Callithrix jacchus: one gene and its partners. The protein of the gene in region 6 interacts with the protein of the main gene of each other region in a pairwise test. Links are inferred from orthologs where the notes say so. Each region holds a gene or a part of one and is shown on either strand. Other genes may lie near its edges. The genes, in order: RNF183, VTN, HCK, FOSL2, CERCAM, GOPC and MYOCD.

The links.
Region 1: the proteins of GOPC (region 6) and RNF183 interact in binary tests that used the Homo sapiens proteins (3 or more experiments, as listed by UniProt). The two-hybrid records come from large-scale screens. The link is inferred for Callithrix jacchus from reciprocal best matches to the Homo sapiens genes GOPC and RNF183.
Region 2: the proteins of GOPC (region 6) and VTN interact in binary tests that used the Homo sapiens proteins (3 or more experiments, as listed by UniProt). The two-hybrid records come from large-scale screens. The link is inferred for Callithrix jacchus from reciprocal best matches to the Homo sapiens genes GOPC and VTN.
Region 3: the proteins of GOPC (region 6) and HCK interact in binary tests that used the Homo sapiens proteins (3 or more experiments, as listed by UniProt). The two-hybrid records come from large-scale screens. The link is inferred for Callithrix jacchus from reciprocal best matches to the Homo sapiens genes GOPC and HCK.
Region 4: the proteins of GOPC (region 6) and FOSL2 interact in a two-hybrid assay, tested with the Homo sapiens proteins (2 studies listed by BioGRID and IntAct). The two-hybrid records come from large-scale screens. The link is inferred for Callithrix jacchus from reciprocal best matches to the Homo sapiens genes GOPC and FOSL2.
Region 5: the proteins of GOPC (region 6) and CERCAM interact in a two-hybrid assay, tested with the Homo sapiens proteins (2 studies listed by BioGRID and IntAct). The two-hybrid records come from large-scale screens. The link is inferred for Callithrix jacchus from reciprocal best matches to the Homo sapiens genes GOPC and CERCAM.
Region 7: the proteins of GOPC (region 6) and MYOCD interact in binary tests that used the Homo sapiens proteins (3 or more experiments, as listed by UniProt). The two-hybrid records come from large-scale screens. The link is inferred for Callithrix jacchus from reciprocal best matches to the Homo sapiens genes GOPC and MYOCD.

The regions. Positions count from the first base shown.
Region 1 is NC_133502.1:161,615,265-161,619,474, reverse strand, and holds the start of RNF183 (E3 ubiquitin-protein ligase RNF183), read left to right. Parts: upstream 1-1,410; 5' UTR 1,411-1,629; intron 1,630-4,210. UniProt on the Homo sapiens protein: Acts as an E3 ubiquitin ligase catalyzing the covalent attachment of ubiquitin moieties onto substrate proteins. Triggers apoptosis in response to prolonged ER stress by mediating the polyubiquitination and subsequent proteasomal degradation of BCL2L1.
Region 2 is NC_133506.1:105,233,004-105,237,099, reverse strand, and holds the start of VTN (vitronectin), read right to left. Parts: upstream 2,801-4,096; 5' UTR 2,736-2,800; coding exon 2,672-2,735; intron 2,579-2,671; coding exon 2,459-2,578; intron 2,382-2,458; coding exon 2,091-2,381; intron 2,012-2,090; coding exon 1,872-2,011; intron 1,638-1,871; coding exon 1,481-1,637; intron 1,283-1,480; coding exon 1,130-1,282; intron 682-1,129; coding exon 343-681; intron 106-342; coding exon 1-105. UniProt on the Homo sapiens protein: Vitronectin is a cell adhesion and spreading factor found in serum and tissues. Vitronectin interact with glycosaminoglycans and proteoglycans. Is recognized by certain members of the integrin family and serves as a cell-to-substrate adhesion molecule.
Region 3 is NC_133506.1:7,148,722-7,152,801, forward strand, and holds the start of HCK (tyrosine-protein kinase HCK), read right to left. Parts: upstream 2,801-4,080; 5' UTR 2,563-2,800; intron 850-2,562; coding exon of another isoform or gene 748-849; intron 1-747. Other genes in the region: uncharacterized protein C9orf85-like, read left to right, coding at 748-849. UniProt on the Homo sapiens protein: Non-receptor tyrosine-protein kinase found in hematopoietic cells that transmits signals from cell surface receptors and plays an important role in the regulation of innate immune responses, including neutrophil, monocyte, macrophage and mast cell functions, phagocytosis, cell survival and proliferation, cell adhesion and migration.
Region 4 is NC_133515.1:86,636,675-86,640,174, forward strand, and holds part of FOSL2 (fos-related antigen 2), read right to left. Parts: intron 1,144-3,500; coding exon 625-1,143; 3' UTR 1-624.
Region 5 is NC_133502.1:177,025,254-177,029,350, forward strand, and holds the start of CERCAM (inactive glycosyltransferase 25 family member 3), read left to right. Parts: upstream 1-1,297; 5' UTR 1,298-1,338; coding exon 1,339-1,535; intron 1,536-3,310; coding exon 3,311-3,421; intron 3,422-3,590; coding exon 3,591-3,708; intron 3,709-4,097. UniProt on the Homo sapiens protein: Probable cell adhesion protein involved in leukocyte transmigration across the blood-brain barrier. Does not express any beta-galactosyltransferase activity in vitro.
Region 6 is NC_133505.1:123,873,956-123,877,455, forward strand, and holds part of GOPC (Golgi-associated PDZ and coiled-coil motif-containing protein), read right to left. Parts: intron 2,785-3,500; coding exon 2,620-2,784; intron 1-2,619.
Region 7 is NC_133506.1:79,202,227-79,206,352, reverse strand, and holds the start of MYOCD (myocardin), read right to left. Parts: upstream 2,801-4,126; 5' UTR 2,507-2,800; coding exon 2,452-2,506; intron 1,858-2,451; exon of another isoform or gene 1,812-1,857; intron 1-1,811. UniProt on the Homo sapiens protein: Smooth muscle cells (SM) and cardiac muscle cells-specific transcriptional factor which uses the canonical single or multiple CArG boxes DNA sequence. Acts as a cofactor of serum response factor (SRF) with the potential to modulate SRF-target genes.

The DNA of each region.
Region 1 (4,210 bases), on a different chromosome or scaffold from region 6:
GAGAAAGTTTTCACTATGAAATCAAACCATTCACGTGCTCAACCATGTAAATATATAACCTATTTAAAAATCAAATTTGGACATGGTGACTCAAGTGTAATCCTAGCACTTTTGGTAGGTGGATTGCTGGAGCCCAGGAGTTTTGAGACCAGCCTAGGCAATGTGGAGAAACCCCATCTCTACAAGAAATACAAAAATTAGCCAGCCACAGTGGCATGCACCTGTAGTCTCAGGTACTCAGGAGGCAGAGGTGGGAGAATTGCTTAAGCCCAGGAGGTTGAGGCTGCAGTGAGCTGTGATCATGCCACTGCATTCCAGCCTGGATGACAGAGTGAGACTGTCTCAAAATAAATAAATACATAAAAATTAATGTAAAAAAACACAAAATGAGGAAACTGGGGCTTTTGATTACATCACCAAGCAGATACGTTTATTTACTTATTTCTTTCTCAAGCACTACTGAATATGTCAGTAAAGAAATAAGGGACCAGACATGGTGGCTCACGCCTGTAATCCCAGCACTTCTGGGAGGTCAAGGTGGGCAGATCACCTAAGGTCAGGAGTTCGAGACCATTCTGGCCAACATGGTGAAACCCCGTCTCTACTAAAAATATAAAAATTAGCCGAGCATGGTGTTGGGTGCCTGTAGTCCCAGCTACTCCAGAGGCTGAGGCAGGAGAATCGCTAGAACTCTGGAGGTGGAGGTTGCAGTGTATCAGTATCACTCCACTGTATTCCAGCCTTGGTAACAGAGCAAGACCATGTCAAAGAAAGAGAGATAGAGAGAGAAGAGAGGAGAAGAGAAGAGAGAAAAGAAGAGGACCATAGGTACAAACAGAATTTGAGTGGGAACAAAAGATGGGCCATGTGAACAGACTGGTCATATAACAATAATTGTTCTGGTTAACATTTACTGTATTACTGTGTGCCAGGCACTGTGTTATTATATGACCCCGATCACCTTGTTAATCTGCAGATTGAGTAGGTAGGTGATTATGGCCGTTTTCAGGTGAGGAAACTGAGGCTGGCAGAAGTTAACTGATTTTCTCAAGTCTCCATCGCTAGTTAAGTGGAGTTTGGACTCTCAGTGAGTACTGAATTCTGACCTAGAAGTATGCCTGGCTTGAGAACACTGGCTCTTCGGGTAGATGCTCAACTGCCTCTCTCCGACTATTTTTTCTGCTGTATTAATGGCCACTGTTGTTAGAGCCGTTTGTATTTTGGTTGCAGGGGCTCAGCAGGAAGAAGGATCCATCTGGGCAGAAGCCAGGAGTTGAGGCGGGTCAGCCACAGAGGGCAAGTGGAACCGGAGGGGATGGCAGGAGATCAACCCATCCAGAACAGAGGCCTGCAAGGATGAGTGCACTTCAACCCCCTCGGAGCAAAAGCCAGAGTGACTCACAGGAGGAAGACAAAGCAAGCAAAGCCTCCAGGGTGTGCAGGGAGTCCAAAGTCACCAGAAGGAAGAAGAAAACCTGAAACAGCCAGAGCTGGCCAAGCCTGCTAGGACCTATGCAAATGAGACCCACCCATGCTGCCTGGAAATCGGGCCTGGGAATTCAGAAAACAAAGCTCATGTGTGCAGGGCTGCAGGGACGGGTGGAGGAGGCTTCGGCTCTGAGGGAGCAGGTAAGGAGCCAGAGAGGGTCGCAGAGGGACGGGTCACCCAGGCCCCAGAGTCCTGAGAGAAAGAAGTGCGCAGCAGGTAAACTCTGGCCTGGGACGGAGGGCTCCTGGGTTCATCTTTCATCTCAGCTGCTCTTTAGCTGGGAAGCCTTTGGCAAGTCGCCTCACCCTTCTGAGCCTTGACTTCCCCATCTAGAAAATGGATCTAAAAATAATCATGCTAGGTCTGTATTGAGCACCTTCTGTATTCTACTGGGCACCTTATAGACTCTTCCTTCCACAGAGCAACTCTGGAGGAGTGGGATTATTAGCCTTTTTTACAGAGGAAAATGAAGTTCAGAGAGGTTAAGCCATTTGTCCAAGACAAATCGTTCCAAATCTGGTTCCAAAGCCGGCATGCTTTTGACTCCCCACTCAGCCTCTCTCACAGGGTGGTTTTAGAGTATCAAACGGCCTTCTGCAAACACAACAAAAAAAATCCTAAAAGGCAAGTAACCTATCAAATGGATCATCATGCTTAGATTTTAGCAAGGGCTAAACTATGAAGTGCTATGAAAATGCCAGTTCTTGGCTGAAAACATTGGAGTGACGCTAGGGACAATTGATATTTGGTGATGACTTGTTCTTAGACCAGGGAGATGACTTTGGGGCAGTGTTTAGGATTTACTGTAGCTGAGATGTCCTGACGTGGGGTGGGGTTGGTGCATGGCCAGAGCCTCTCCCCAGCTGATCCTGAAACAACAGATGATCCCTGGGGGAGCAGCACAGATAAAGGCCCAGGGAATAATGATCCTTCCTCCTCTTGGACAGCCCTTTACAGCTCTGGCTGTGGAACTTCAGAGAATGTAGATCTGATGTGGGGGGAAACAGGAGATCTTTACTTGTAGTAATACAAGCTTACCGGAGTAAAGCTAGAATTTTCAGGTAAAATTAAAAATAAAAAACCAACGTTTAATCTTGCCCCAGAGGTAACCACTGCTAATATTTAGTTGTTTATGTTTCCAGACATGTTTTCCTATGGTGCACACGGTTTTGAAAATTGGATTATATTGTAATATGGTTTTGTTGCTGGTTCTTTTTGCCTGATGACATTATATCCGAGGCATATATCCATATTAATAGTTTTATCACATCATTTTAAAGGGTGCATAATGTCGCTTTCTATGGATGGAGCAGAATCTACCTAATCAATGTCCTATTACTGGATGATGAAGTAGTTCTCTGTAGGTCACTGTTAAATCAGGGCCTCGATGGGATTCTCTGTAATCACGTCTTTGCAGAAGTCCTTGATGATTTCCATGGAATCCATTCCCAGTGAGGGAATTGATGAGTTGGGGCTACATATAGTTTAAGGCTTCCGATAAGTATTAAAGGTCTGTTTCTGCCACACTCTGGAATTCAGGGGCTCCTCAAAACTTGATGCAGAAAATTTTGTCATGGCTTTGAAGTCAACCTTGACCCTTCCTCTCTCTCAAATCTATTTACATTAATAATTCCAGCTGCCTCATATCCATAACAATGTTTTGGTCAACAACAGACTACATATATGATGGTGGCCACATAAGATCATAATACCATATATTTACTGTGCCTCTTCTAAGTTTATGTTGAAATACACAAATACTTTCCATTGTGTTACAATTGCCTACAGTATTCAGAACACAATATGCTGTATGGGTTTGTAGCGTAGGGGCAATAGGCTAGACCATACTGCCTAGGTAGATGCTACCATCTAGGTTTGTGTAAATATGCTCTGTGATATTAATACAATGATGCATTTCTCTGAACATATTCCCATTGTTAGGTGATGCATTGTTGGCTTTTTTTTTTTTTTTTTGAGGTGGAGTTTTGCTCTTGTTGCCCAGGCTGGGGTGAAACGGCACCTCCCAGGTTCAAGTCATTCTCCTGCCTCAGCCTCCCGAGTAGCTGGGGTTACAGGCACCCGCCAGCATGCCCAGCTAATTTTTTGTATTTTTAGTAGAGACGGGGTTTCTCCATGTTGCCCAGGCTGGTCTCAAACTCCCAACCTTGGGTGACGCACCTGCCTCAGCCTCCCAAAGTGCTGGGATTACAGGCATGAGCCACTGTGCCCAGCCAGTTCATCACTTTGTAGTCCTTACTGGGTGCTGGGCTCTAACTAAAAGCTTTACTAGTTTTGGCTTCCTTTTCATATGGAAAAAATAGAGGCACAGAGAAGTCAAGCAATTCAACTGGAATCACAGCCCTAAAAAAGCCATGGATCTGTTCTCATGAACCTTGACAATCGTGTTCCAGAAACTACAGTCTCGATCCTAAGAACTCCACTGCTTCTTGGGAAGTGGCTTTGGTTCTGTTCCCAAAGATATCACTTACCTGATCCCCTTTTATCTTCTCCACTACCACCTGACCTGCACCAGCACCACCATCGCACATCCGACAGAGCCCAAGTGGGTCTTCCCTTCCCACGCTTGTCCTCTCAGTCTGTCCTCTGCTCTGTAGCTAGAATGGTGTTTTAAAAATGGAAATAGGGGCCAGGCGCAGTGGCTCACACCTGTAATCCCAGCACTGTGGGAGGCTGAGGTGGGTAGATCACGAGGTCAGGAGT
Region 2 (4,096 bases), on a different chromosome or scaffold from region 6:
GGCCAGGAGCTGGGCAGCCCAGCCAGTACTGAGCGATGGAGCGTGGGTAGGGAGGGTCCACAGTGTCCACTCGCCGTGTGCGAAGGTTGACTCGGTAGTACTTGTCTGGAAGAGAAGAAAGCAGAGGGTGTGTGAGGCCCAGCCAGTTCCTGCCCACTCTTTCTTTGAGAAGAAAGTCTAGGGTATCTTCCAGAAGGAAAAGTAAATATCCACCATGCAGTTAAGGACTCCTGGCCTGGCTTTCTGTGATCACTACCTGCAGCCTGTATTCAGCCCCTGTGGACCCGGGACAGCAAGGAAGACCCAAGCTAGACCAGCCTCGGGGGTGGCAGGGGCTCCTACCTCCAGAGAAGAAGAAGACAGTCTGGATGGGTTCACAGGTGGCAGGCACAAGCCAGTCCATCCCATCATAAGAGTTGATTCCCAAGTCACTTTCATCACTGGAGAATAAGGACAGCCAAGTAGCTCGGGATGGCCGGCGGGAGTTCTGCTGTTGGCCACGGCTACGACCTCGGCGTGAACGGTAGCCTTTGCGGTTGCGATGCTTAAACTTTTGCTTCTTGGCCAAGGAGGGGCGGGGTGCTATGCCTGAGACGTAGATGTGGCCAGCCATGGCTGCGTCCACTTGCTCTGGCACACCGTGCCACTCCTGGCTGATGAACTGGGGTTGTCTGGTACCAGCTGTGGCAGGGAAGGGGTGAATGAGAGGTCTTGGGGGTCTGAGTCTTGGCCCCTCCAGCAGGGCCATTAGAATTCATCTGCTGCACCTTGCCCAAAGACACACAGCAGCTAATGGCAGAGCCCAGCAGCCAGGCCTTTAATTCTCCGTCCAATGCCCTTCCCCCTGCACCCTCTCCATAGTGTCTCGACCCTAGGCCCCCTAAACTCCTCAGCCACAGCCCCTCCTCTGCTGGCTGTACCCTCAGCTGTGCTAGGCAAAGTCCAAGGTGTGGAGTCCAGGTGGAGCTGAGTTTCCCCCAGAAGGTCAACAGAAGCAAAGTCTAGCCTGAGCAAATAGCCTTTGATCGATAGCTCCACAACCACAGCCCCTCCAGCCAGCCTGGCTCTACCGCTACACAGGGGTTCCAGCCCTTTTGAGGGAGAAGCAAGACTTGCCCCCTCTCCATACCAGAGCTTCTACCCCAGAAGAGAAGCTCGAAGATGTCCTCCCAGCTGTCCCGCTGCATCATGGCAAACTGCTCAAACACTGCCGACAGGGAGCTGCCTTCACATTCCTCCCGACTGGGCTGGTGCTGGAACTGGTACTCCCAGTACTGTTTCCCTGAGGAGTGGGGTGGTGGGCATTAGGAGGGCTGGGCCAGAGCAAGACTGGAGGTCCCAGAGGCTGTTGAAGTTAGGAGCTCCCACCATGAGGTGGGGTAGGGGTTGGGCACACGCTGAGGCCTGTCCCCAGTGAAGTGTGAAAGGAATCTGAGACTGCTCTGAAACCTGCCCAGGCTCCCACCCGCCCCCTGGGTACCTTTGAAGAAGTAGACCTGCTCCCGGCCACTGTAACTATGGGCAGGGAGGGCCAAGGCTGCATCCACGTTGTCCGGAATGCCATCAAAGCCGTCAGAGATATTTCGGGGGTAACCAGGGTCCAGGACACCATCCTCAAAGCGCCAGTACTGACTACCCTAAGAGGGAGGGAAGGTGAAAGGAGGTATGCAGGGTGCTGACTGGGCACGAGGCAGAGTCTTTTGCCCTGAGGCAGCCGTTCCCAGCTCCAGGTTCTCTGCCCAGGACCTGGAGTCTTGGGACTGCCCTGTGCTCACAGAGCCCCCACAAGGTCCTGCAGGGCCCAGGTCTGGGAGCAATAGCTCTCAAACCCTCCCTACATGCTTTCTACCTTGACCCACAGCCCCTGGCACCTTGAAGAGGTAGGTCTTCCCCTGACAGTTGATGCGGGTGAAGGCGGCATCGATGGGGCCCTCAATGCCCCAGACATCTCGGATGAGCTTGGGGTATCCAGGCCTTACTGCCTTTTCATCCAGTTCATAGCAGTATTGCCCTAGAATGGAGGAGGTGGTGTGAGAGTGGGGATGCTCGTGGGGCAGACCCCCATCCCCAAGACCTGCCCTTGGAATCACCTCGGAAGGCAAAGAGGGAACCGTTTTTGAGGTCAGTGAAGGCATCAAAGGGTTTCCCGCTGCACAGCTCCTCCTCTGCTAGGGTCTCAGAGGCCCCTTGATCAAGGGTATCAAGGCTTGAGGTCATAACAGGTGGGTGCTCAGGATGCCCTTCAGGCTGGGCCTGGAGGTCATGGGTCATGGAGGGCCCTCCTGGCTGTGGATGCGTGGTGGTGGTGTTTTTGTTCTCCTCATCATAGTCACTGACCCCGTACTCATCCTCCGGCATGACAAACACATCCCCACGAGTCACTGCAGAGAGAGTGGAGGATAGTGAGTCTCCAGCTGCAGGGAGGACCCCAGCCTACCCGCCTGGGCTCTGAACACACCTTGGGGCTTGCACTCAGTCATATAGTCCATGCAGCAGCTCTGGTAGTAAGAGCAGAGCTCGTCACACTGACACTTCTTGTCGGGGTTGAAGCCCTCGGTGCAGCGATACTTGCAGGAGTCTATGAGAAAGGGGTGTCAGTCGGTGCCACCAAGCCCGGGCCACCCTCGCCCACCCTACATAGATTCAGACAGCCGCCAACACCCTCCTGTACCTTGGTCAGCCAGAGCAACCCATGCCAGCAGGGCCAGCATGAGAAGGGGTCTCAGGGGTGCCATGACGGGGCTTCTAGCTCAGTGGCTGGCGAGCTGGGCTCTGATCTCCCTGAGGTCTCTGCTCTGATGCCTGAGGAAGGGAGGGAGAGGCAGAGACAGGGAGGGAGGGGACTGGAGAAGAGGAAATGCCTTTTCTGCCTCTCTGTTTGCTCAACCTCCAGCCCATCCCCCTCTGCCCTCCTCCGGCAGCTGCTGCAGCTAAGGGTCACATTCCTGAAACACTGGGTCTGGGAGAGCTGGGAGATAAGACCTTTGCCAAGCTGAGAATCATTAGGTCATCAGAAGAGGGAATTAGCACAGTGGGTCTGGAGGGCAGAAAGAAGGATCACTGGGCAACAGCTTTATCTCTCTGAGTCTTAGTTCATTTCAGTAAAGTGGGACAAACAAAGCCTTGCCTCATGGGGTGTCGGGAGACTACATAAACTAGAGCAGACAAAATGCCCAGTAGCTGGAGCAGCCACAAATTCCTTCTCCAAAAACGGCTATTGATCCATGATTGTTTGATCAGACACATCCCTGGTTGGGTGTTCATTTGCTATTGTTTATTTAGGGCAGAATAAGGGAGTGGGAGGAGAAATTGTAAGCACCCTGGGGAATTTTCTTTTTTAGCATAAAAGAACAAAGTTTTATTTCTGGGTTCTTCTCTTGGGTGCATCAATCTCCCCAGGCTGGAAATTTGGGTAAATATCAACCCTCTGGACTGGATTTGATTTCTGAGTCTTTTCACTTATTCTGAGCAGGCCACTCCCTGTCCCCAGCCTCAGTCTCCCCATCTGTAAAGAGTGGGCTTGTTCAGCACACTTTTAGGCTCTCAAGAGAAATATGATCCCTCTACCTGGAAAGTGCCCTCTGGCACAAAACACCTAACTTTGTGCCCAATTTAAGGTATCCACAGAACTTCTGAAGCCCTCCCATCACCTGAAGGAAGTGATGCTAAGATTTTAGCTGACGTTTTCTGTTCTGTAATCAGAGGGAATTTTGATTTTGGCCAATCTCTTCACCATGGGCTTCAGTCCCGTCATCTGTGGAATGGACACCAATCCCCACCTGATAGGCATGTTATGAGGTTTCGCTGAGAAACAGGCATAAAAGGGTCTTAAGAGTTATGATGATTGCTTTAACCATTTAGTAGGGAGGGGGCACACAGCGGAGTTGCTCCCACGTACCGGTGTCACAGGGGGCGGGGGGAGAACTGAGACCGTCCTCTCACTCTCCACCCCCTTAGTCCAAGTCCAGCGCAGAGAGAGGCGGCTGCTACTGAGGGGCTGGGGGAGGTTGGCCGGGGCGTGGGCGTGGCTGTGACTGGGGCGGCTTGGGGGTGGGGCTGCCCAGGCAGTGGGAGGAGCCCTGCGGGACCCAGAGGC
Region 3 (4,080 bases), on a different chromosome or scaffold from region 6:
AGTCCCTGGGTGACCCTTCCAGGCTTCAGTACTCCTCTCACACAAAGGGGAGGGTGACAGGTGCCCTCCCTGGGGAGCCATCCAGGCTTTTGATGTTTTTCTCAAGAAACATCTGTACGTAGGCCGAAGGCTACACATCCAGGATACTCCTGGCAATATTGCTTGCTGTAGTGCACGCCTAGAAACAACCTCAGTATTCATCCAGAGGAATGAGAATTAATATAGCGTGGTCACCTGCTGGGATATTCCACAGCAGCTGGAAGGAATGAATTAGGCCTCTATTTTCTATTTCTCATCCTGGATAGATTTTGACAACTTAATGATAAGAAGGGGGAAATATGCTCCTCTGCTATCCTCTTAGAATTGCAGAAAGCTCTCATAGTTAGATAGCATTTTTTTTTTTTTTTTTGAGATGGAGTTTTGCTCTTCTTGCTCAGGCTGGGGTGCAATAGCTCAATCTCGGCTCACTGCAACCTCTGCTTCCCAGGTATAAGCGATTCTACTGCCTCAGCCTCCCAAGTAGCTGGGATTACAGGCATGAGCAACTGCATAGATAGAATTTTTAAAGTACACAAAACAGTCCTACGTGTTGTTTATATGTATACATACACACACACAATCCTTTTTTTTCAAACAGAGTCTCACTCCATCGCCCAGGCTGGAGAGCAATGGTGTGATCTTGGCTCACTGCAACTTTTGCCTCCCAGGTTCAAGCGATTCTCTTGCCTCAGCCTCTGAGTGGCTGGGATTACAGGCGTGTGCCACCATGCCCAGCTAATTTTTGTATTTTTAGTAGCGGCAGGGTTTCACCATGTTGCCCAGGCTGGTCTTGAACTCCTGACCTTGTGATCCACCGGCCTCAGCCTCCCAAAGTGCTGGGATTACAGGCATGAGCCACTGTGCCTGGCCTACACAATACACTTTTAAAAGCACAACCTGGAAGGACTGTAATTCATGACAGCAGTTACCCCTAGGGAGGGAGGGAAACAGGACTGAGAGCCATACGAAGTGGGGAGACTTCAATATTTTCTGTTACTTTTAGTAAATTATTATTATTATTATTTTGGAGACAGTCTCCCTCTGTTGCCAGGCTGGAATGCAGTGGTGGGATCTGGGCTCCCTGCAAACTCCAACTCCCTAGTTTAAGTGATAGCGATTCTCCTGCCTCAGCCTCCTGAGTAGCTTGGATTATAAGGCACGCACCACCATGCCCAGCTAACTTTTTGTATTTTTAAATAGAGACGGGGTTTCACCACGTTGACCAGGATGGTCTCGATCTCTTGACCTCATGATCCATCCGCTTCGGCCTCCCAAAGTGCTGGGACTACAGGCATGAGCCACCGCGCCCGGCCCAGTACCTTTTATTTTTTAAAATAATCTCTCTCTGTTGCCCAGGGTGGAGTGCAATGGTGCAATCTTGGCTCACTGCAACCTCTGCCTCCCAGGTTCAAGTGATTCTCATGCCTCAGCTTCCCGAGTAGTTGGGATTACAGCTGCCCGCCACCATGCCTGGCTAATTTTTATACTTTTAGTAGAGGCGGGATTTCACCATGTTGGTCAGGCTGGTCTCAAACTCCTGACCTGAGGAGCTCTATCTGCCTCAGAGTCCCAAAAGGCTGGGGTTGCAGACATGGGTCACCCGGCCCGGGGTCTTCAGTACCCAATTAATCCTCTAAACAACCCTGTGAAGGAGGTGCTATTACTCTCCCCATCCTGCAGTAGTGAAAACGGAGGCAAAGGTCAAATCCTCCACCCCAGGCCCGACGGGCAGCTTGCGCCTAGAATCCGCCTCCCCTGACCACTAGCCTGTCTCTCACACGCCCCACCTCTCGCATACTCCAGTTTCTTGCAGCCTTGCAAGAAAGACTTCATAGCCCCGTTTTACAGATGAGGAAACGAATTCGGAGCGGGAGAATGACTCCTCCAACAAGGAGGAAAGTGACAGCTTTGGCCAGGAGGTTTGGGGGTTTGACCTGGACATGCTGTGGGAGGAGGGGCAGAGAGCCGACCAGCTGCAGCCGGCCTGGGTGTGGCTCGCACGTCACGCCTCCGCCCAGCTGCCCCCTTCCCCAAGCTGGCTGCCAACCCTGCGTGACCCGGCCCCCGCCGGGAACCGTAAGGGCCTTCCCCTCCCAGGCCCTGTGAAACCCCATCCCTTCCTTCTTGTTTTTTAAAATTTTTTATTTTTTTAAATAAATATGTATATATATATATATATATATATATATATATATATATATATATATATTTTTTTTTCCCCCCCTCAGAAGGGGAACCTGGACGACACAGAGAAGTGGTGGATAAAGTCACTGCACCGGCCAGAGCGTCCCCTCCCCCGGGCATCCAGCAGTCCGCAGCAGTGCCGCCCCTCACCTGGGCACCCTCCACTTGCTGTCGACCCTTCACGCCACAGGCTACCCGCGGCTCCCCCGACGCCCCCGTCTCCCCTTGCTGCCCCCCAGCAGCACTCACATCCAGCCCTGTTCGGGACCCTAGGCTCCCTCCGCCGGCTGGGACCCCTCGAGGGCCGGGTGTCCCCGGTCCCTTGTGCGTGGCACTTACCTGGGCGCCCGCTCCCCCTCTCGCGGGCAGCCCGGATCCTCGCAGCTCGAACGCCCCCCCAGCTCGGCAGTCCCCGGGGTTCCTGGGTGTCAGTGCCTGGAAACTGACTTTCTAGAACTAGAGGTGGGGGGCGGCGCTCCAAGGGGCTTTGGTGCCCCCGCGGGCTTTTCTCGCCCTGCACCGTCTAGGTCCCCTCCCACTCGCCTCTAAGCCTCTGATGTGCTCCCGGGCTGGTACCGGGGACGCGGTGGCGCCCGCAGGCCATCTGGGCGCCTTGGCCGCGCCCTGAGCTATGCTAACCCCGCCCCGCGTGTCCTAACGCCGCCCCGAAGACTCAGAAGCCAACCCGGGATCCTAACCCTCTCCTCTAGGGTCATAACCTCCGCCTCCTGCAAGCAGGATCCCAAACCTGCCACCAAGGAAAAATATAAAATAAAATTAACACCAACCATCGGAGGCTTCTAACGCGTCCACCAAGGATGCTAACGCCCCCTCCCCGCTCCACTCTCCCTCACACCTCCCCCAAGGCAGGTAATCCCACTGCCCAGCGTCCTACCCCGGTCTCCAACGGATCCAAATCCCGCCCCCAGGGATTCGAATCCTCCTGTCTAAAAACCCCAACACCTGCTCGCATGCTCCTAAGATCCGAACCCCGCCCGCCAAAGGATTTTAAACTTCCCTCCAAAGATTCTAATCCGCCCAACGAAAGGATTCGAACTCTCTCTTCAATGGATTCTAACCGTGCCTTAAAGATTTAAAACACTAACCCCAGGGCTCCTGCTCCTGCACGACCCCAACCTCCCTCCGCCTGAGAGTCTGAATGCCCAGGGGTCTATCCTGCCGGTCCAAAGATTCCAACCCTGACGTCCAGATCCTACCAAAGGATTCCTGCCACAGTCTTCCAGCCCCACCCTGGAAAGGTCTTACCCTACCCCGGAAATAATCATGATCCCTTTCTTCCACCACTCCAACCCCTGCCTTCTGGCCTGGCCCTCCCCAACGCCGCTGCCCGAGCCTTCTAGGCCCGTCTGTGGTCAGTGGTTTCCCTTCCTCAGGCCTACTCCATTCAGACTCCATGCAAAGTTCCTTTCTTGAAGGAACCACCCTGGCTTCTGGGCAGCTCAGAGGACTCCCAAGCTGGGGGAGGTGGTCGGGGAAGTGAGGAGTCCGGCTGGAGGGTGACTGGGGCCCTAAATGGATGAAATTGTGCCCAGCCCCAAGCAATGACAAAACGCACCCTCTCCTGGAAAAGACGGGGGCTATCACCCTAAATTCTGTCTAACGCACCTCCAAAATGTACAGGAATCCGACTGCATCTCTCTATTCCAGTTGCTACCAGCTGATCAGGGCCACCGTCATTTCTTCATTCGTTCATTTATTCATTCATTCATAATTCATTCAGCAATGTTGTGCTGGGGGCTGGGGAATGCAGGGCTTCTTGGCACTATTGACATTTGGGCCACGGGGCCTGTCCTGTGAATGACAGGATGTTGAACAGCATTCCTGGACTCTACCCGC
Region 4 (3,500 bases), on a different chromosome or scaffold from region 6:
CTGGAGATGGTGCACTGGGAAGCACCAGGGTAGGGAAGTTCTGTATTGCACTTTGTCCCCTTCTGGACAAGTCAGCCCCAGCAGAAGAGTCACCTGCTGCCCCGTCTCCAGAAATGAAGAGCTTTAATATTCAGACCACCCAGATGAAATGTCATGGCAAATCTGATAAAAACCAAGAGGGACTGAAACTGACACTAGGGAGGGAAGGGGCAGGTCGAGGAAAGTGAAACCAAAAGGCACTGAGCATGCGTGGTGGGGCAGGGAAGGACACCATCACTCCAGAGACAGTATGGTAACAAAGGGACAGGAATGGTCCAGGCCAGCTTCAGGCTCTTCAGAAGCCAGAGAGATGTCCAAGTCCACCAAACCAAGTTCTCCAAGGCTTTTCAAGAAACAGGATTTGCTTGCAAGATGAATGAGGGAGGAGGTCCCATGGCTTCCAAGAGATCAACCCAAGTCTTCCAATACTCACTGCCAAGTCCCACCTGGATCCCCCAAAGCCAGGAAGCTCCCTGGCAGGTCCCCCTCTTGCTCTCACAGCCCTGGAGCGCTTGAAGGTGCTGGTCCCTGGGAAGGAGGAGCGAGGAGGACCCCCTCCCAAGCTGGGGAGGAAGGTGAGCTGGGTTACAGAGCCAGCAGAGTGGGGGAGTTCAAGGAGTCTGATGACTGGTCCCCACTGCTACTGCTTCTGCGGTGAGCCTTGGAGCAGGACTCAGAGGGCGATGCAGGCGACTCCTGCTCCAGGACGCTAGGGTAAGTGAAGACGAGGTTTGAGGTGCCTGGAGTGACAGCAGGCGTGGAGGTCACCACGATGGGGGTGTGCAGGGGCTCTTCACCATAGAAGCCCCCAGCAATGCTGATGGGCTTGATGACAGAGCGCTGGGCCTTGTCCAGCCCCGCCGATGAGGACGAGGGGCTGTCCTCTTCCAGGGGCTCCTGCTTCACCACCACAGCGCCCACCGCACCACCCCCACTGCGCATGGGTGGCAGCCCGGGGGCTGGAGGCGATCGGCGCTCCTCGGGGCTGATCTTGCACACGGGGCCGTGAGCCACCAACATGAACTCCAGCTTCTCCTTCTCCTTCTGCAGCTCAGCGATCTCCTTCTGCAGGCCCGACTTCTCCTCCTCCAGCTCCTCTGTCTCCTGCCAGGGAAAGAGAGGGATGTGAGGAACAGCAACCTGCCAGGGACCCTGCTGGGGGGCAGTTCCAATCTAGGCAGGAAAGAGAATACCAGTAATGCCCTCAGACACTGTGAGAGCACAGGCTCACACACCTAACCACAGACCCCACTGGTCTGAGTCACCTGGAGGCTCAAGATTCCTTTAATTTCCAAAGAAGGAGAGTTAGCTTCGAGAGGGGGTGCGATAACAACTGCAGCTGCCATAACACAGCACCTACTGTGTGCGAGGCACTGGGTTAAGCATTTCATAGGTGATCTTATTCAATCTTCCAGCAGTTTTTGGAAGAAGATGTTACCATCACCCCATTTTGCAGAGGAAGAAAATGAGGTTCGAGGGGTTGTGCTAATTTTCCAAAGTCACAGAGCTAGCAGGTGGGGTAGCCCAGATCAGATTCCCATTGTATCTGACTCCAGAATCTATGTGCTACTACTATGTTCTACAGCCTTGGGGCCAGGACTGCCCCCTGGTACCCGAGGGGTGAGTACGGCAGAGATCTGCATGGAGAAGGGGCACGGAACGCAGCTCTGTGCAGTCCTCGCCTTCTCTTCCTCCCAACCCCATGCCAGCCCAGCTGTTGATGGATCCACGCTAAGCCCAAGGCTGCAAGAGAGTGGAGGCTGTGTCACGCACATTCCTGTATCCCCGGTGCCTAGAACAGTGCCTGGCTTCTAATAAGTGCTCAGCATATCCCTATGGAATCATCACAGCCTCTTCTCCCTTTTTTTGGCTCCAATTTCTTTCTTTCTTTCTTTCCTTTCCTTTTCTTTTCTCTTCTCTTCTCTTCTCTTCTCTTCTCTTCTCTTCTCTTCTCTTCTCTTCTCTTTCTCTCTCTCTCTCTCTCTCTCTCTCTCTCTCTCTCTCTCTCTCTCTCTCTCTCTCTCTCTTCTTTCTTTCTTTCTTTTTTCCTTTTTTGAGACAGAGTCTCACTCTGTCTTGCCCAGGATGGAGTGTAGTGGCATAATCTTGCTCACTACAGCCTCTGCCTCCTGGGTTCAAGCTACTCTCCTGTCTCAGCCTTCATAGTAGCTGGGACTCCAGGCGCCCACCACTACATCTGGCTAGTTTTGTATTTTTAGTAGAGACAGGGCTTTACCACGTTGGCCAGGCTGATCTTGAACTCCTGACCTCAGGTGAGCCACCCACCTCAGCCTCCCAGAGTGCTGGGATTATAGACGTGAGCCACTACCCCCAGCCTTTCGCTCTACTTTCTTAAGCACATATTTCAGGACTCCCAGAACCCTCAGAGAACATGCGGTTCAGCCACCATGCTTGACACAGAAGTAACGTGACAGCCTGAGAGGGCCTGTGAGGACACCAGGGTCACCCCGCAAGGACCTCACCCCACTTCTTTCATCCCCAGCCAGAGAAGCAGAAGCGAGCAAGTGCACATGGAGGGGCCTATGTGGGAGGGGAGAGGGTGTGTGTCAGCAGCCTCCCCCTGTTTTCCCTAACATGGATGCCTGTTCATCAGTGAGGAGATACAGACAAGGGCTTCATTAAGCAGAGTACAGCATATTCCGGAGTGAAAAAAAGTTTCCGTCTGTCTCAAGGGTCTGATGAACGTCATGAGCTTATGAGAGGCTTCCTGTGGAGGATGTGGCTCAGGGGCCTGGGTGGCTGGGCCAGAGGGCGGGGGAGGCAGGGGAGTGGGGTGTGAGGCTTCTAGGAGGAGAGGAAGAAATGAGAGGGGCCTCGGGGGGCAGGACTATTCTCAGGCGGGTGGTAAGGAGCGCCACATGGGGCACAGCTCCTTGAAGTGCCAACCAGAGAAAAGGTAGTGGTGGGAGGGCTGGCTGAGGCAGTGTACTGTGGATCTGCCTTGCCTGGGTATAAAGAATTCCCACTCATCCTCCCCGGCTCTCACACCTCCGAGGGACATTACTACAGGCATCACAGAATTCATGCAATTCAATTCATTCAACACCCCAGCGTGAGGGCTGCAGTACAGAAAGAGAAGCCTAGGCTGGTAGATGGTGCCTGGGAACATTAACTAAAGTGAGGGATGGGCCGGCTGCAGTGGCTCACACCTGTGATCCCAGCACTTTGGGAGGCCAAGGTGGGTGGATCACCTGAGGACGGGCAGATGATCTGAGGTCAGGAGTTTGAGACCAGCCTGGCCAATAGGTGAAACCCTGTCTCTACTAAAAATACAAAAATTAGCCAGGCATGGTGGTAGGCACCTGTAATCCCAGCTAGTTGGGAGGTTGAGGAAGGAGAATCACTTGAACCCAGGAGGCAGAGGTTGCAGTGAGCTGAGATCATGCCACTGTACCCCAGCCTGGGTGACGAGAACAAAACTCATCTCAAAAAAATTATAA
Region 5 (4,097 bases), on a different chromosome or scaffold from region 6:
TGGCAGGGTGGGGGGGTGGGGGAAGCTGTCAGTGCATCATTCTCTGGAGGAATCCTGCAAGCCCTCCCAAATGGGTGATGTTGTCAGCCCCATTTGGGGAAAGTGACCTGTCTCGGGTTGGTTGTGGACGCCCAGCTCCATCCCATTTGTGGTGCCACCAGGCCTCTCCCTTTTCTGCTCCTCTCCGGAGAGGCTGGAGAGTCCTTTCCCTCCCAGCAGGGTCCTAAGGACACTGGCGGTGCCCCAGGGGAGCCAACATCCCCTGCTTTGGAGGGCGGCTAGGTCGCTGTGAGCAGCTCCGTGGTGTCCCCTTGTTCTACACTCAGACTAAGAGAGGGCTGTGTGTTTTGTTTGTTTGTTTCTTTTTGAGACGATGTCTCGTTCTGTCACCCAGGCTGGAGCACAGTGGCACGATCTCGGCTCACTGCAACCTCCGCCTCCCAGGTTCAAGCTATTCTCCTGCCTCAGCCTCCAGAGTGGCTCGGGTTACAGTCGTGCGCCACCACACCCGGCTAATTTTTGTATTTTTAGTAAAGATGGGGGTTTCACCATGTTGACCAGGCTGGTCCTGAACTTCCGACCGCAGGTGATTCGCCCGCCTCGGCCTCCTAAGTGCTGGGATTACAGGCGTGAACCACCGCGCCCAGCCCGGCTGTGCTCTTAAAGGGCCGGAGCAATGCTGGTGCTGGCGACCGAGGCGAGGAGGTGATGCGCAGGGGACTTCAGTCGCAGAACGCCGCGGGAGTACAAACCCAGGTCGGAGGATCCCTCCGCGCCCCCCACGCAGGTATCGATCTCGGGCCCTGGCGTGGCCCGATTGGTCTGAGGAGCTGGCGCCGGGGCCGCCAGAGGGCGCCCGGGGTGAGGGGGAGGAGGGGACGCGAGCCGGGGAAGCCCAGGGAGGGCGCCGCCCTGCGGGGGTCTGCAGCTCTGGTCCGAGGGTCGGCTGCATGGGTCGGGGAATCTGGATTCCGTGGGTTCAACGCCCAGGGGTTCCAAGAGCCCCGACAGTTCTCGGACGCCCGGCAGGCTCCGACGCACTCGGCCCAGCACCCCTCCCCCGTCACCGTCCTCGGGCCCCTCCCCGGTCGCCTCTCCGGGCGGGGCTGCTCCCGGGTCAAGGCTGGCGCGGGTCTTCGGGCCCTGGCCCTCCGGTGCCCCAGGCCGAGGACAGAAAACTTGAGCATCCACACGCAGGGGTAGAGAGTGGGGGCCACTCTGGGGGTGCACTGCCCCGCCCCCTCTGGGTCCGCCTCGGCCCCACCCGGGCCTCAGGCCCCGCCCCCTCCCCTCGGCCGGAGAGCCCCGGGGGCCGCTGCAGCCGCCAGAGTGCCCGCCATGCGCGCTGCCCCCGCTGCGCGGCTGCTCAAGCTGCTGCTCCTGCTGGGGTCGTGGCTGGAGGCTCCGGGTGTTGCGGAGTCACCGCTGCCCGCTGTGGTCCTTGCCATCCTGGCCCGCAATGCCGAGCACTCACTGCCCCACTACCTGGGCGCGCTGGAGCGGCTGGACTACCCTAGGGCCAGGCTGGCCCTCTGGTGAGAGACCCGGGCATTGGCACCCAGTGGGCACCTAACCCCCAGCCTTGCAGGCGGCCCCTGCCCCTGGTGGCCCTCTCCCCTCACTCGCTGCCTAGTCACCACCCAGACAGGCCTCTCCCCTCACAGACGGCCCTGCCAGCCGGAGGCCCCAGCCGGGACCCCAAAGCGCCTGCTGGGTGACGACAGACCTCTGAGGCCACAGGCTGACGAGGGATACCCACTCCTCCTTCTGGTCCCCTACTCCTTCCTCTTGGGGCCTTCCCAAGGGTAGATTGGGCCCAGCCAGCCCTTTTCACCCCAGCCTAAAGAGCCCAACCCAACCTTGGTGGGACCTGTGGCTGGCTGGATTTGGAGAGGAGCAGACAGGAACCTCTGAAGTCCCCTGGGGCCCAACGTGGCAGGGATAGGCCAGGCTGGAGGCTTTAGGACACAGGTGGGGGGTGAAATCAGCACTGGGCTCCGGACTGTGCAGGGGAGTCTGTTCAGCTCCCCCTCCCTCAGGGCTGAGGCCAGCTGTCTTGGTAGAGGGGCGGGGTCCAGTCAGCCAAGAGCCCCCCTCACTGGAGCCTCTCCCCTCTGGCACCTCTGTACCCACAGGGCAATGGGATAGGAGGCCACGACCCCTAGTCTGTAGACACCAGAACAGGGGGGAGTCCCTGCCCGAGGTTGGGGGTAAACAGAAAAATGACAAGCCACCCTTTACAACACACCACACAGGGCTGGGGGGGTGGAGCCCTGGCCTGGGGAGGCCGCCCACAATTACCACAGTTTGGGAGTTAGTTAGTTCCCACCCCTGTAAGACTTGACACGTAATCTTCATTTCTGGGGAACTGGCTTAAAGGGGCAGCATCACCCAAAACCTGGGATCTTGGCTAAGCACCCCTCTGTTATGGGAGCCCCTTCCCCAGGAGAGGGGAGGCTGTGCCCCATGACAACAGAGCTTGGGCCTAGCTGCATTCTCAGGGATGCTCAGAGCAGGATTTGGTCCTTATTACAACTCGGGGGTGGAGGAAAGCAGCAGCTCTTTGTCTAGTTCCCATTCAGAGAGGGACAGGGGCTGGCCTGTTGTCACACAGCCACAAGTCACACAGGTAGGTACCTGCCCACCTAACAAATGTAATCAGGGAATGCAGCAGGTGTGATGCTTAAAGTTGAGGTACTTTTCATCTTTCAAAATGCATTTGTGGGCTGGGCATAGGGGCTCACTCCTGTAGTTCCAGCACTTTGGGAGGCAGAGGTGGGCAGGTCACCTGAGGTCAGGAGTTCGAGGCTAGCCTGGCCAACATGGTGAAGCCCTGCTAAACACACAAAAATTAGCTGGGCATGGTGGCAGACACCTGTAATCTCAGCTACTCAGAAGGATGAGGTAGGAGAATCGCTTGAACCTGGGAGGCGGAGGCTATAGTGAGCTGAGATCGCGCCACTGTGCTCCAGCCTGGGTGACAGAACGAGACTTCATCTCAAAAAAAAAAAAATGCATTAGTCTTCTCTGTTTTGGCCTATGACATAAGGGGGACAGATTAAGTTATAGAGGGAGGATGTGAAGCCCGGAGAAAGATGGGACTTGCCTGAGGTAACACAGTAGGTCACAGAACTGTGTTGGGGACCTGGCTGGGCTGCCTCCAGCGCCTCTGCTGTAGCACACCCAGCCTTCACTGTTCCAAGGAGAGCCCGGCCTCAAAGGTGTGGGTGCTTCGGGGTTAAGGCTGCCTTGGGGTTCAATCGTTCTGTTGCTGTGCCGCCTCAGCCTCCTTTTTTCTTCCCATCCCCAGGTATGCCACGGACCACAATGTGGACAACACCACAGAGATGCTGCAGGAGTGGCTGGCGGCTGTGGGTGATGACTATGCCACTGTGGTCTGGAGGCCCGAGGGGGAGCCCAGGTGCTGATCTGAGGGGAAGGGTGCTGGGGAAGATGGAGAACAGCTGCAGCCTGGAGAGGAAAAGGGACAGCCCAGTGCCACAGCCTCCAAGCCAGGGCTCGGTCCACTGCCCTGCAGAGAGAGAGGGGCATAGACCCCATGGGAACATCTCACCTCTCTACCCCCTCAGGTCCTACCCAGACGAAGAGGGTCCCAAGCACTGGACCAAAGAAAGGCACCAGTTTCTGATGGAGTTGAAGCAGGAAGCCCTAACCTTTGCCAGGGACTGGGGGGCTGACTATATACTGGTAAGGAAGTCTGGCTAGAATTGGGCTACTGAAAGGTGGTAGTTTCTGTCCCTGATAGAAATATGGGTGCAGGCTGGTTGCAGTGGCTCATATCTGTAATCCTAGCACTTTGGGAGGCCAAGGCAGGTGGATCTTGAGGTCAGGAGTTCGAGACTAGCCTGACCAACATGGTGAAAACCTGTCTCTACTAAAAATACAAAAATTAGCTGGGCATGGTGGTGCCCACCTGTAATCCCAGCTCCTTGGGAGGCTGAGGCAGGAGAATTGCTTGAACCCGGGAGGTGAAGGTTGCAGTGAGCCAAGATCGAGCCACTGCAATGCAGCCTGGGCAACAGAGCAAGATTGTCTCAGAAAAAAAAAACAAAAAAAACAATAATTAGTTGGGCGTC
Region 6 (3,500 bases):
TTCCAGGCCAGGCACAGTGGCTCATGCCTGTAATCCCAGCACTTTGGGACACCAAGGCAGGCAGATTACCTGAGGTCAGGAGTGCGAGACCAGCCTGACCAACATCAAGAAACTCCATCTCTACTAAAAATACAAAATTAGCCAGGCATGGTGGCGCATGCCTGTAATCCCAGCTACTCAGGAGGTGGAAGCAGGAAAATTACTAGAACCCGGGAGGCGGAGGTTGTAGTGAGCCAAGATTGCACCATCACACTCCAACCTGGGCAATAAAAGTGAAACTCCATCTCAAAAAGAAAAAAAATAAGGATTTCCAAATTCTTTGTGGGGAGGCTTAGGGGTGGAGAGATCTCAGAGATAGGTCATATCCAGAAAACAAATAATGAAATTCTAGACTCTAAAGAGGTAGTGAGGTCATCATGTCTAGATCAGCCCCGTGAATCCTCTCTACAGGTCCTTTACACATTATAGTAGCTCTTTCTACTGACCATAATCTTTTTGTTAATAGGTCTAAAATATAAAAGGATGCTTAATTATTAAATTTATAGAATTTTAGAACAAGAATTCAGTTTAAAAGTTATTTTGCCATGTTGTAATGCACACAGAAATTCAGCAAATACATCTAAATAGTCAGATATTAAATAAGGAAATCATAAAAACTTTCCTTAACTGATTCAGGAAATGAATTTTCTACAAAATGATTTTTTGTTTTTTATTCAATAATAGTAATTATTATATTTATATATTTAATTATAGCTTTCAATCCTTAGAATAATCCTGCTATAGTCTCTTTTACATGAATGAGAAACCTGAGTGAGTCTGGAGAAAGCAGATAACCTTCCCTATATAATAAACAAGAATAAAGAAAAATAAAAGTTTGACTGTACAGTCCTTGCTCTTTGTATTATGTCAGAATAATTGTGTAATATTTATACTGTCATTCTTTAACAATGACACATTCAAATAAAAAGTTACATATCATGCCAGGCACAGTGGCTTACGCCTGTAATCCCAGCACTTTGGGAGGCTGAGGCAGGTGGATCACTTGAGCTCAGGAGTTCTAGACCAGCCTGCGCAACATGGCAAAACCCAACTCTACAAAAAAAAATTAGCTGGGCATGGTGGCATGCACCTGTAGTCTTAGCTACTTGGCGGGCTGAGGGCGAAGAATCTGTTTGAGCCTGGGAGGTTGAGCCTGCAGTGATCCATGACTGTGCCACTGCACTTCAGCCTGAGTGACAGAGTGAGACCCAGCTCTAAAAAATAAAAAATAAAAAAAGGTACAGAACATTTTATGTTAAAAAAAAATTCGAAGCTATAATTGTCATTTAATAAGACTCCAACCACTACATACAAGTGTGGTGTTAGCAACTCTGAAAATTATGGCTTGCCTTTGCTCAAAAGAAAGCATGCTATGTTTAACTGCTACTCACTAAGTTAGTCTCTTTGGTGCTCTTCTTTCCCAGCAGTTTAAGGTTATACCTCAGAATTTAGTATGTGCTTAGTTAGCATTTCCTTAAAACTATGACTGCCTATTGCTAGCTCCTTCACCAGTCATCCCACTCTTTTGCTACTGGATGACAGTCAAGATGGGCTGATAAAACACTAACTTGAGAGAATGGGGTAGCACTCTTGATCTCTTTTATCAGAGAGATAAAATACCATTTTGCAGAAAGAGACAGACAATGCAGTGGTCTTCAGCAAAGTTTTAGATGACAGAATTAGATCTGTGGGTAGCTGTCATGGAGACAGAGATTTCAGGCTTAATATGAGAAAAAGCTTTCTAAAAATCAGTCCTGTATAACAATGGAATGGACTGCTTGATATCAGCAAGTCCTTCCTTTAATATAATCATTGAAGTAGTGATGTTGCGAAGATTTAGGCATCATATAGGATTGAACCAATGAACTATATTCACTTTCAACTCTGAGATTCAATTCTACAGAGGCATACCACACTGATGATCCAAAAAACATCTCAATGTACTACCAATGCCTCTAATTCCCTCAACTCTATTCTTGAAAGAAATAAACAAAACAACATTTTAAGTACAAATGTATGACAAATATGACTCCTGAATATGAATCTTAATTCTATAATTTATTTGCTCGGCAACTTGGAGGGAATCCTTTCATCTCTAAGAACTTTAGTTTACTCATTTTAAGAAAGACAGTTGGGCTAGATAGTTTCTATGGATAATTTCAATTTTAAAATTCTATGACTAAAATCAATCCACTTCTAGCATTGTCTTTTCTGTAATACCTTATATATAGTGTTTTAGGCATTAAGGATGATTTTCTCGGTCTCAGGTCCTGTTCTGAGTCCTTTATATGTATTAACATATTTAATCCTCACAGCTTTCTTTCAATCCCTCCCACACAGGGGAGGACACTGTGGGAGAGAGGACTTAAGTAACCTGCTCAAAGTTATGAAGTAAACAAAATGTCCATTTTCAGTAAATACGACTGAATGTCATTTATAAAAGCATTAAATCAAAGGAAACAAGATCTAGGTATAAATATTTTACTGCTTTAGAAACTTCATAGGGAAGTATACAGTGTTCAATAGATTTATAAAGAAGTAACTGATAGATCCAATTCTAATTATATTAAGGGAATTTACCTGCTGGGAAAGAATGGTTACAGCTTCTTTATGCTTTGTGTCCCTTAGGTTAACTCCATTGACTGCCAAAATAGCATCCCCAACATGCAGCCCTCCACATCTATCAGCAGGTTGCCCCGGATGGATCTCAGAGATGAGGATTGGAACACCATGTTCTTTCCCACCCTAAAACAATAATAAAAGGCAGTAAATTAAAGCATTCTTTGTATAGTCACTGATTAATCTGGAGATAAACTATTTTCTTAAAAATCTTTCATTAAGCACCTATGCTGTCTCTATAAATGTTGGGTAAAATTTTATTTTCTACGTAAGTAATGGTAAAAAAAATTATTACCAAAGAGTAAATTGGCTAAATTCTGAAATTAAAAAAATTTACGTTAGTACTCCATAGCACCATTATATTTTATCAAGTCTGAATCATCACCAATGACAAGACCAATTATTTTAGGTGCCACAAAAATAATTTTAAGATTATACAATTAATTTCAATTTCAGAGAAGTTAAAATATAAAAATATATGCAATGTAGAATTGAAGAAATACAGTACTTGGTACCTATCATTCTCTAGCTTGTATCTTTGATACACACACACACACGGGGTGTGTGTGTGTGTGTGTGTATCTTATTTGTCCTGCTAAAATGTATGCTCTTTGAAGGCAGCTCATTAAAAAAGGTAAGTGGTCAAGACATATAGATTAGATGAGCCTTTTATTATAAGGAACATTTCTACATTAAGCAGTACCAAAAAAATGAATGAACTTGCTCAGTGCCTAAGTATTACACCAAATGAAAATTAAAGCCACCTTGTTCATTAAAGCACTGAGATTACAATATAATGACTCCTAAAGGCATCAAATTTAAAAAAGGAATTATAATATTTA
Region 7 (4,126 bases), on a different chromosome or scaffold from region 6:
GGAAGCAAGTTGAGGCACGGAGAATTATGTAATTTACCTAACGTTTAAGGTCATGCAGCTAATGAGTAGAGATTACTATTAAAAACCCAGCGAGTCTGGCCCTGAGACCCATGCTTTTCAAATGAGTTTGTATCACCAAACATGTTCATACAGGTAAACTTTCAGAGTTTACTGCTGCTGTAGCATGATTTTGTCCTTAATCAAGAGGTCACTCAACTACAGCTTATAGAAAGTTGATCGGACATGGCTGACATCAATGATTTCAGAGTAAAAGCAGTTATCTGCTCACTTATAAACAACCCTGTCACAGTGAGTCTGTTGCTGTAATCAGAGAACAATTTCATTGCATTTATTTAATGGAATACATAATACCATGATCTACTATCAAAGCAAATATTCGCAGTGAGATCGAATCAGTTTTATGAGTTTACATTTGAATTGCTTATGAAAGATGAGGAGGAGAAGATGATGAAGGAGAAGGGAAAATAGTGAAAGAGAGCGAGAAATCAAAATAAAGTCGAGGCACTTATTCATTGTTAGCCACAAAATAAACGGCGTTCTCTTAAAGAGAGACCCTACTGTCAGCACGCTGTCACCTCAATGCTGGCCCAGCCAGAGTAGTAATTACATCCGGAAAGAATAACTACCATTGAAACATTACGTTTCTAAGTCTTACATTCCACTTGTTTTTTCTCCTGTCTGTCAAGAGACGATCAACGCTTGCATCTCAGACTCCAGATTCCCTGTTTATCAGTGATGGGAGGATAAAAGACGCCTGCTTCTGCTTTGATATCATGTTTTCCCAAATCCACCCTTCCTTTTGACACAAAAGCCTGCATAACTTTCTTAAAAAGTGAGGCTGGAATTCTCTGAAGCTCCAGGATCAGGGTTTTCAGGGTCTATTTAGGAGACACCAGGACTCCCCAAATCCACTGAAATGGAAGTTGGGAGTGGTGCAAACGTTGCCTTTCCTCTCCACTGCACTTCAGCTGAAGGAGGGATCGATAGGTGTTTTGCAAGTCTACTATCAAGTACATCACCAAATCCTTTTAGAGACAAACCAGCACGCCCAGACCCTCTACATTTCAACTGGCAAGGAAGCATTTGAAGTGAATGCAGCTTCATACAAAACGAATCTACATCCTCTCTTCTTCAGAAAGGTGGCAGTGTTGCCTTGCAGTTTCGACCAAATACAAAGCAGCGGCGCGGTCCCTAGCTAATTAACAGATCAACCGCCTCACCTCACCACGGAAAGGCAGGACGTAATCCACTACCGACCCCGGTGGCTGGTAGACTCATCCCAGAGCGTCAGGGGCAGCGAGGCTTGTGACCGCCTAAGCTCCTGAGTTTTCAACTTGCGTCAACGGTGAAGATCCTAAGAAAATCTCCAGTTGACCCCACAGGCATCTACAAACCAAGGGCATCTAAGAAAGTCACAGATGAACCTTACCTCCTAGCAGCTACATTTTTCCTTTTTGAAACATCCATCCCACGTGAAACAATTGCGTTGGCCCCATGTAAAGGGCTACGAAAGCTTAGCAAACCATGCCTGTATCTTTCTGACACCTGTTATGTCAATATTCGCATCAGAGTTCTCCTAAAAGTAACCAATCTAAGTAGACGTTCTACATTATTGTGTTGTTAACCAGTTTTCTAAAACCAACATTATACACAGAGTTACCGAAAAATAACTTCAGAAGTCAAGTGTTGATTTGTCTAAACGTGGAGACCCACACGGACACCTTCCATGGGCACGTGCACAAACCCTTCTTGAGAAGCAGCTAGAGCTCCCGTCTCTCCCTTCCACTCACCTCCACTCAGCGTCCTTTGAGAAGTTTCTCCATGTGCCACTAACACAGAAATTTCGGGGAAATTCTCCATTTATAAATATCAGATGGTTTGGGAAAAAATATTTGTGGCACTGGGCTTTCTTTTTTTTTTTCTACAGTGATGTCATTTTAAATACTTGGTGTGCTCCAAATTTGCTATTTTTACTTCCTCCAAGTGACTTTTTTTGGGAAATACTTTGTTTGGATTAGCTACATTTTAAATGACCCTGTACCTAACACACAAACATCAGGTTCATCTTCTCAGCGATCATAACTGATACTACGCAGCGTCCAAGCTTGAAATCCCTTATTCGTTCGTCTCCAAAGTTGCCCCTTCTCAATGTACCCCTCCAAGATTTCTATTCACAGATACAGAGAAAATAAAATAGAAGGATTGACCTTTTCACAGAAGAACAACCACACTCTACTACCCAAAAGCACTTACAACGGAAGACACAAAAGGCCCCCAAAAAGTCAAATAAAATTCTTTGCTTCCACAATGTGCTTTTGGGGAACAGAGTTGAGGTAGACCTGGCAGGCTTGGAAACATTTATTGGAAAGCAGTTCTAGAGTTGAGAATGGCAGAAAAGGAAAGTTCAAGAAGGAATGCTAAATGCCCTACCTGATCTGAACTTGCTCCTAATCAGCAAGGAATGCTCAGACCCCAGAAGTGTCATGTTGAGGCTCAGCAAGCCGCGGGTCCCTTTGCCAGGCGCCCCCTGTTCTCCACCAGCAACAGGCTCCCGGGAGCCCAGCTGACCGCAGCTAACAACCCAGAATTCATCCAACTCGCCGTGAGCTCCCCTGGGTAGGAGTACAGTGGCAGCCAGTGTCCCCAGAAAACTGGCGCCTCCCCCCCTCGCCGTGCGGGGCTAATTAACTCTTAGCCGGCGGGACCCTCCTCCTCCTCGGAGGTTGGCTGGGGGCAGCGGCATCCCAGGCGATCCTGGCTGATGTCATAGGCTGCCGGCGATTGCGGAGAATCGCCACCACGCCTTTATGAAGGTCCCAACTTTGCCACCCGATACTCTTTACTACTGACAGGCGCTCAGCCAATCAGCAGCGGCGAGCGGGGCCCGGGGGACCCGGAGCCGCCGGAGCAGTCTCGGGAGCCGGCTCTTAACTCTTTGCAGCGGGCCCCGCGGCCTCCGGGGCGCAGAGGGCGGGAGCAGGGCCGGGGGTCGGGAATCCGCGAGAGGGGCCAGAGCTAAGGAACCGAGGCCCGGAGGAAAGTCAGAGGGGCTGCCACGCCGCGGGGCCTGCAGGTGGTGCGCGGGGCTGCGGCGGCGCGGGGAGCTCTGCGGGCCTGGGCATGGGCGTGCGCAGCCGGGGCTTCCCCGCCAGGGCTTCTGCCTGCCGGAGGGACGCGGTCGGGATCTCCCTCCAGCCGGCGGCAAAGGGCGTGAGCGCCCGCGGGACGGTTTGGAAATCAGCTGGACCCCTGAGAAGAAACGCCTCCGAAGGACCGAAGCCCACACCTTCCCCTCGGTTTGAGGGGCTCAGTGCACAGGCAGGGACGATTCTGTGTCTCGCAGCTCCAATACCGGACTTGGATGCATTTCCACGGGGAAAATGGAAAAGCTTGCATTTTTCTAGGATATGCTTTTTTGGGGGTAGGCTGGGGGATGTGACTCGGTGCATCTGGAGATCCAGCGGCGACTCAATGCTCCCACCTCCAAACCCGAGGGAATGGGGAAAGATACCTGAGTCTGAGTCAAAACCCTACTGGACTGTGAATAGGGAGGGGCTCTGGAGCAGAGGGCAAGCCAGAGCTCTGGTTGGGGTTAGCCTGGAAAGGCGCAAAAACTGCCTGCAAATGAGTCTTTCCATAGGCGAAAGTTAATTCCGTAACCGATCCAGAGTTATTGGAGCATCTTGCCGAGGTGTTCTAGGCACATGGATCAATGAAATAATACAAAGACCCAGCTCTCGAGAAGCTGGTTTAATAGTTGGTGGCTCAGAACATTAAAAAAAAACACACTCTATATACGTATATAATTAGGGTTGATTTGCAACCTCATGTGCACGTGGGTTCCCGGGTGTCGACTGTTACACACAAGCCTGCCTATGTCTTTACTACCAGTCCTTAAAAGATCACTCGGTTACCGATGGAGACCCGAGGTGACAATATAGCTCATGGGACAACCTCTAATGCCCTGAGTCCCGGCCTCTGCCCCATCCGTTGTTGCTGGAAACATATTACGGGGTTAGCCCTTGAGCTCAATCTCTGGATCTGAGCTGGTCTTTTTTGTAAATAAGGTCTTCAGGAATAGACACCTTCTTCCTGATGGGTCAGA